Linked DNA regions of Drosophila melanogaster. The gene in region 1 interacts genetically with each later gene. Each region holds a gene or a part of one and is shown in the gene's direction. Other genes may lie near its edges. The genes, in order: jumu and l(1)sc.

Region 1 (3,929 bases):
TTTCACTTGTTTGTTTTTTTGTTTTGTAAATTTTTGTGTTGTATTATTAAAATTCTATATTGTTTTAATTTTTTATTTTTATATGTTGGTTTTAAAACTTAGTTGCCTTTGGACTTAATATTTTTGTTTCGTATTTCACTTCCACTTATTATTGGATAACCGAATTGGAATTATAATCCAAGTTGAAGAGTTTTCACGAATTTATTTTGGGAGATGTTTCGAGCACTGGACTATAAAATTTAACTTATTTTCCACTCGAAGGTTCTTTTTTTTTCGGATACTTTTGTATCCTACCGACTGCGCCAGTAAAATTGTTGTTTTATTTATGAGTCGAACTAATGTCCCGTCAGTTGACTAAGGACAACGCCAAGAAATAAAAAATAGTTTTAGGAGAAATAGTTTCACGACTTTATTCTTTGGATCTCAGCTTAAGACTAAAAATCAAATGCAAATTGGATTGAGGAGAAGCCTCAGTATTTGAACAATATTTGTATTTCGGGAGAGCCTCGCTCTTGGGTTCTTAAGATTAGGTAGCGTTGAAAGAGGGCAGTCAAATCTGCTTAGGTCAGGCTTTAGGATGTTTACAAGAACGGCTGCGCTGCCAAAGATAAACGAATGCTGCGCAGCTGGGATACGTTATGGAAAATTACTAGAGTGCATTACTGATTTCTTTGAAATAATGGAAGTGGCTGGTTTGGACCACCCAAATACGTCACTATATATATATATATAATTTTTATAATTATAATATATAATATTATAATTTTTAATAAATGAACTGCAAGCTAAGGGCTTTATTTCCTGCGACTGAACTTAAGTGGTTATTATAAGTTTATTAAGTGGTTATATATCTTTGGGAAAAATATTTCAGATATTTTTAAATTTGTGACTTCGTGTTTGGAAGTAGCCTGGTTGTCTAGTGTCGCGCCACTAACCAAATAACCTATTTACCTTTTTACTGAAATTCCCACATCTTATTGCACTTCGCTTGAATCTACACCAAATTTCCATTATCTTGATTTTTTGAATTTTCTACGTTAGCTTTGAACCGAAAATGGTGGTTACTCGCAGTGCAGCTACGAAGAAGCAGAACCAAGTGCTGACCTTATCTGACCAGAACATCCTAGCAGAATCTTCGAGGACCAAAGGACCTCCTGTGCCCAAGAAGAATGTTAAGAAATTGCCGACTGCACGTCAGTGTGTCAAGGTGGCTGCAAATCTTCTAGACGCACAAGAACCTAACGAAAATGAAGTAAGAAATATCCAAAGATATATAAATATTTGTTCAAACATTACAAAATATAAAATATTTAGAACACAGGAACCCAAAGGAAGGATGGAAAGCAACTGGATTCCAAATTGAGTTCCACAGTCCAAAATACAGAAGCAGCGAGGTCCAAAGAAACTCCTGCACCCAAGAAGAATGTTAAGAAACTGCAGGCTGCACTTCCGTGCGCCGACGCGGCTGCAAATCTTTTGGAGGAACAAGCATCTAATGAAATGAATGAAGAAGGACCTCCTGTGCCCAAGAAAAATGTGAAGAAACTTCCGGCTGCACGTCAGTGTGTCAAGGTGGCTGCAAATCTTCTAGACGCACAAGAATCTATCGAAAATGAAGTAAGAAATATCCAAAGATATAAAAATATTTGTTCAAACATTACAAAATATAAAATATTTAGAAAACAGGAACAAAAAGGAAGGATGGGAAGCAACTGCAGGCACAAAATTCGAATGAAAATGAAGTAAGAAATATCAAAAGATATGCATATATTAAAATATTATAAAATATATAATATATTTAGAAAACAAGCACATTAAAGAAGGATAAAAAACTACTGGCTTCCAAAACTCCAGAAGCAGCGACAAACGATAATGTAAAATGAAGATACAGATACTAATAATATTAGTATTTATAAAATTCCAATTTTAGGCAAATCCAAATATGAAACCAAGCCTAAAGAAGTCGACAAGGGAGCACAAGTCCAAAAAGTGTAATGACATTCAAAAAGCTGGAAAAGATCACATCGAACATCAAGCCGAATAATTTGTATCACGTTGCGTTAATTGTTTTTGTTTTTAAAGTTCAAAATTGATTTTAGTTGCTTTTATAAGCAAAAATATAAATATAAATAATTAAGAATACCTAATAACAAAGAATGCCGAACAGTGAGGTTACCTTTTAAAAAGCCGTTACACGCAGGGTTCGTTTCCCGGCTAAATGGTTACCCGAGCTCCCAACCTGCCACTGGTTGCGGTGCCGTGTATTGTCAACGTTTTCCAAAAACGGAGGTACGGTCACTCCAGTCTCGGGCGCTCTCATTTTTCGTTCGAATTCTGACCGGGCGGGTTTATTTTATCATTGCTCCGCGACTTCGAATACGAGACCGGTGTTGTGCGCTCCTGATAACTGCGATATATTGAGCGCGAGCGCCATGTCCTTTTGCTGGAAGTAGAATTTGAAAAGTGCAGAGATCACGGCTTGGATTGCCAAGGAACAACGGTGTTGAGACTGAATATATTTTTTGTGCGCTGTTTCGAAATAGAACCGTTAATTGGAATTGGCAGTAAGAAGCAGAGAGGCGGACGATATTCCGGTGAAATCTTCGCCAGGCGGAAACATCGATCAAAACAAAGTGCATGCTAAAAACATAAAAGATTCAACATGTTCGAACTAGAGGATTATTCGAGCGGCATACATGAGGGATTCTTCAGCAAATATGCGGTGAGTTGAAACAAAAAAGGCGAGCTAAGCGAGAATAATAACTTTTCGCGAACATTTCGCCGGCCGGCCACACGCACCCATACACTCGCATGTGCCGAGACACAGACAGGCGCAATTTTTGAATTTAACGTTCGGTCTCCACGTTCCCCACACCCCAACTGTTCCCATACCGACATGAAGAGCAAAACCCACCACCAAGAACAGTTTGGCGGCGAAACTTTGGTTCCACTCGCCATCTCGCTCGCCCCTGCGGCCAAATATTCCCCGCCTCGCTCGCTCCAAAGCTGTGTTGTTGACTCGCCAATTCGCCCTCGCCGCGTTTAACGTTTGTGTGTGTGTGTGTCTGTGTTTACATTTGATCGTTAAACTTTGAAAAATTTCTTTTTCGCCCAAAAAATTGATGATTAATTACAACCGGAACAGCGGAGCGCCGATAAAAAATAATGGAAGTATAGTACCATTGCGTTTGAGGAAGTCTGCTGTTTATTTTGGGGGTTACTAACTCGGCTAGCCGCAGAATTCACCTCTGTTAAGCGACTGTTATTTGCACTTAATTGTGGACATCAATTCACTTTTCACGGGAGGGGATTGCCTGTATTATTCTACTTGTATTATTAAGACACTTGGAGTATTTTACTTTGGCGCACACAGCACAAGTCTTTCTTTTGTTGTAGCCATTCGCAATTATTTGGCTTATTTATTTTCTGTCACACACAGCGGCGGATGAAACAATAGCACACCTTATAATATATTATTTCTTGCAATTTATAAGGTTTAAGAATTTCTTATCTTCATTTTCAAAGAGTAACTCTATAATATAACACAGTATGAGAGGAGAAGGTACCAAAGATTTTTTTTTAACTAAAAGGATTATTTCTTCGGCATAAATTTACTTGTATAATGTTAGAGAGTTTCTCTGGTCGAGTATTCACTGTAGAGTTACGTTATCACATTCTACAGTTTAGCACAGGTTAATAAATTTGCAGTCCTATTTCCTTGGCCGCCAATATGCGCTGAGTACTTTAGTGTGTTTCTCCGCCGGTTCGCTGAGTTTTTCGTCTGGTGGCCTCTTCTTCGGCTTTTGCGTTTTAAACTTTTTGAAGGCCAAGCGTTCACCTCGAATCTCTCGGTTTTCATCTGTTTTAGTCACAGTCCAACCAAGTGGCTAATGATTTTGGGCCAGAAAGTGGGGGTATGGCTTTGAAGT
Region 2 (3,914 bases), on another chromosome or scaffold:
TCATTTGCTGTATGTGACATATACTGAACATGTAAAAGCATAGACTAGACCTCATATAAAAACAATTAACATTATTTTTATCATGTATGTTTTTGTCAACTTCATTTTGTCGGCTACTTTTCTAATTAGAATCCCCTTGAGAAACCTTTGGACAATAGAGGTCGCTGTACAGCAACTTATTGGAAGATTGAAACTATATAGAGACCGCCACTTTATGGTACACTAGCTGATTGGAAACCTGGGAAACCATGAACCTGACAACCCTGGCCAGTTGTTCACTATTTTATATTTACTGCGTCCCCCAAAAACGAAACTGGGATCAACACTATTCTGATCTCATGCGGATTAATTAATCACTGAACATTATAGGGCATGGTGTCCGAGGCTTATGAAATTGAAACCAAAACCTTTTTTACTTTCCTATTTTTTGGTGGGTGTGTTTGGAGCATATTAAAAGAGTATTTGAAAAGGGTTTGCTTCGAACCAAGAGAAATACAAAGGTGATGACGCAAAGATTTTTATTCTAGATATTATAAATGCATTAGAAAACGAATTCGGTAGCAACTTTTAAAAACCAATTATTAGGTAAATGGTGTTTTTTTTTTTTTTTTTTTTTTGCTTTATTATGATTTTCAGCGTTCATTCTTGTGGGATCAATTTCCTCTAATTTTCTGATCTCCTTTAGGGCAGCTGCTTATGGCTTTTTTTAAGATTTTATGCATTTATGGGAGCAATCTCGTAACTCGACTTATCCGTCTTCGGTAACGGTATTGCCTTCCCATTGCAACAAAGTTGCAAGTTGCGAATCCAGAAATTTGTTTCAGATTCAGCTCCTTACAGATTTATGAATGCTTAATTTAATTGCAGGGGGATTGTTGGTAAACGGAATAACTTTACTTTCTTGGACTGGGCATAATAAGTCACAACCCTACAGCAAGCAGCAAATAAATAAAGACATAACATTTTTTAAAGCTTTTTGAAATACTAATTTGCTAGTCAAATAACATTTAAAGACCTTTTTTAATGCTTTTCGACATACTAATTTGATAATTTAGAACTAAACCTGATTATGAGTGATGTCTTGATATTAAAGCAACACAAATGCTTCATGCTTTAAAATCAAAACTGCCATTCGATTTTTAGAAGTATTCCACGAAATAATTATCTTTAAAAGAAAATATTTATTCAATAATGCAACACTATCAAAATATTTTCCCAAAAAAATATTTTAAATTGCATCGTAGCCTTAATACGATTTAATGAGTTATGCAAATTAATTGAATTCAGTTTTTGTTTGTTCATACAAGACATATATTAACCAGTCAGAAATATTACATTTTTTGTCGAGTGCACAGCCCAAATTTAGATCGCTTTCTTGTATCACAAGCGTTTGATGAAAGGGTAAGAGTGTTTCGACTGCAACTTTGATCCCAACTGCTGTCAATATTCAATGCCTTTGTGATGGTTTCGTTTTTATTTGTCTGGCCGTCCCCTTACTTATTATAGTACGCTTGGTATTCATGATACAGCACACACTTGTGGGATTTTGTCTGCGCCGCTCTGCGATGTTATGTATCATTGTTTTGAAGCTTATGCTAATGCACCGGACTGATCGGAAGCACGTGTCAAATGCAGATGGGTCAGAAAAAATATTAATGAAGGTTCATAACATTACAGGATATAAAAGTGGATACGCAGTTTTAAAGACAGTGAAAGTCCCACGACATGGTCTTTTAAGTTTGTTTCTTTTGCCTTCGCATCATTTTCTTTCATTTGATGGATCACATTTTATATCAAATTCCCTTCCAAGATCTCACTCTCCTTTATTTTTCGCTTTCAATGCAAACGACATTCGACAAAAGTGGAAGTGCATTCAAAATCTTTTTTTTTAGCCATGACAAGGATCTTGCAGATCTGAGATTTAAAATTTTCCCAAAAGGAAAAAATGCATTATGTAGACGGACACAAAGGACAAAGAGTGTGTGGGAGAGGGAAAAGGATGGGTAGGTAGGCACACAGAGACTGAGTAGGAATAGAGGCACCCACCACAGAAAAAGAACCCCTAGAAAGAGAGGAAAAATGTACGATCACTTGTGCAAAGGACTTAGGTCCCGGTTTTTCGAGGGCAGGTAGCCAGGATCCGACCCCGTACCAACCCCTGTAGCTCCTCTGCCGAAGTCGCTGCCTCTGTCGCGGCGCGTTTCCCTCTGCCACTGCCGGGTATTTAAAGCCCTAGATCAGAACAGCAATTATCATTGCGGAATCTGATTCCACACAGTCAACATCTGTAAACTAAATCTTAGAAAACTCTCGCAAGGATTACCATGACGAGCATTTGCAGCAGCAAATTCCAGCAGCAGCATTACCAGCTGACCAACAGTAACATTTTCTTGCTGCAACATCAGCATCACCATCAAACGCAGCAGCACCAGTTGATTGCTCCGAAAATACCTTTGGGTACCAGCCAACTGCAGAATATGCAGCAGAGTCAACAGTCCAATGTTGGACCCATGTTGTCCTCCCAGAAGAAGAAGTTCAACTACAATAACATGCCCTATGGCGAGCAATTGCCATCGGTAGCCAGACGAAATGCCCGTGAACGCAATCGCGTGAAGCAGGTGAACAATGGATTCGTCAATCTCCGCCAGCATTTGCCTCAAACTGTGGTAAACTCGCTGTCCAATGGAGGACGTGGTAGCAGCAAGAAGTTATCCAAGGTGGACACACTGCGAATCGCCGTTGAATATATTCGAGGACTACAGGACATGCTTGATGATGGCACTGCTTCATCAACTCGTCACATCTACAATTCCGCCGATGAAAGTAGCAACGATGGCAGCAGCTATAACGATTACAACGATAGTTTGGACAGTTCGCAACAGTTCTTGACGGGAGCCACCCAGTCTGCCCAATCCCACTCGTACCACTCCGCCTCGCCCACGCCGTCGTACTCCGGATCCGAGATTTCCGGAGGTGGCTATATCAAACAGGAACTACAAGAGCAGGACCTCAAATTCGACTCCTTTGATAGCTTCAGTGACGAGCAGCCAGATGACGAGGAGCTACTCGATTATATTTCATCTTGGCAAGAGCAGTGAAGGGGTCTTACTAAAAGTCCCAAACAAACAAATATTGTACAAACTGTAAATACCCTAAATTGTTGCCTTAGTGAGTGTAAAACCAAGTCTCAAATTTCACATTAGCCTCTAAGTTACCCCATATTTTTTTTTATTATATTTTAACGCAATGGAAGACATATTTTTTTCATAGTTATAAGTTTGTTATAAGCATGGAAGACACTAAACTAACTACTTTTAAGCCAAAATAAAAACATATTGATAAATTTAATTCCAAATGTTTTTTACTGAAATCACTTACTCGTAAATATATTCAGATCGTCATGTAGGGTAATTACAACGAGTTCTCGTTCTCATACCAGCATCAGAGCCAAAAAGGTTTTTAAACAATCTGCATTTTGAAGCATTGCTTTGACTATATATATGTTATGATATTCGTTTTTAATTTATGTATTTTTATATTATTATTATTATTTTTTAGCTTAGCTGTTTTGGCCTCAGGCTTAATAATGGTACTAGCGATAGAAATAATAATTTCACAAAAAAGTTACCCAATTTATTATTTATATTCAATTACTTTTGGAGCGTGGACATGACTCACTCAAAATTCGTAACCAACATAGAGTTAAGCACCTGACAGGAAACAACAGCGAATATTTTCATGATTGGTTCCCTAACGAGCTACAATTCGGCCGGGAATTGTTAATGGCGCGTAAATAGCCCGGAAATAGGCAGTCACGCCTGAGAGGATGAAATTGTCCTAGTCCAAGGATCAGTACTTGAAGACTCGCACAATCCACGTGGCTGGCGCACACCGCCACAAAGTTTTTCATCAAG

Evidence for each region.
Region 2: of jumu (region 1) and l(1)sc, changing one enhances a phenotype caused by changing the other (phenotypic enhancement), as found in Drosophila melanogaster (one study listed by BioGRID).

Annotation. Positions count from the first base shown.
Region 1 is NT_033777.3:10,347,866-10,351,794, forward strand, and holds the start of jumu (jumeau), read left to right. Parts: upstream 1-2,316; 5' UTR 2,317-2,662; coding exon 2,663-2,722; intron 2,723-3,929. Other genes in the region: CG31406 (uncharacterized protein), read left to right, coding at 1,055-1,252, 1,315-1,617, 1,680-1,742, 1,803-1,874, 1,931-2,044.
Region 2 is NC_004354.4:407,472-411,385, forward strand, and holds l(1)sc (lethal of scute), read left to right. Parts: upstream 1-2,249; 5' UTR 2,250-2,324; coding exon 2,325-3,098; 3' UTR 3,099-3,346; downstream 3,347-3,914. UniProt on the Drosophila melanogaster protein: AS-C proteins are involved in the determination of the neuronal precursors in the peripheral nervous system and the central nervous system.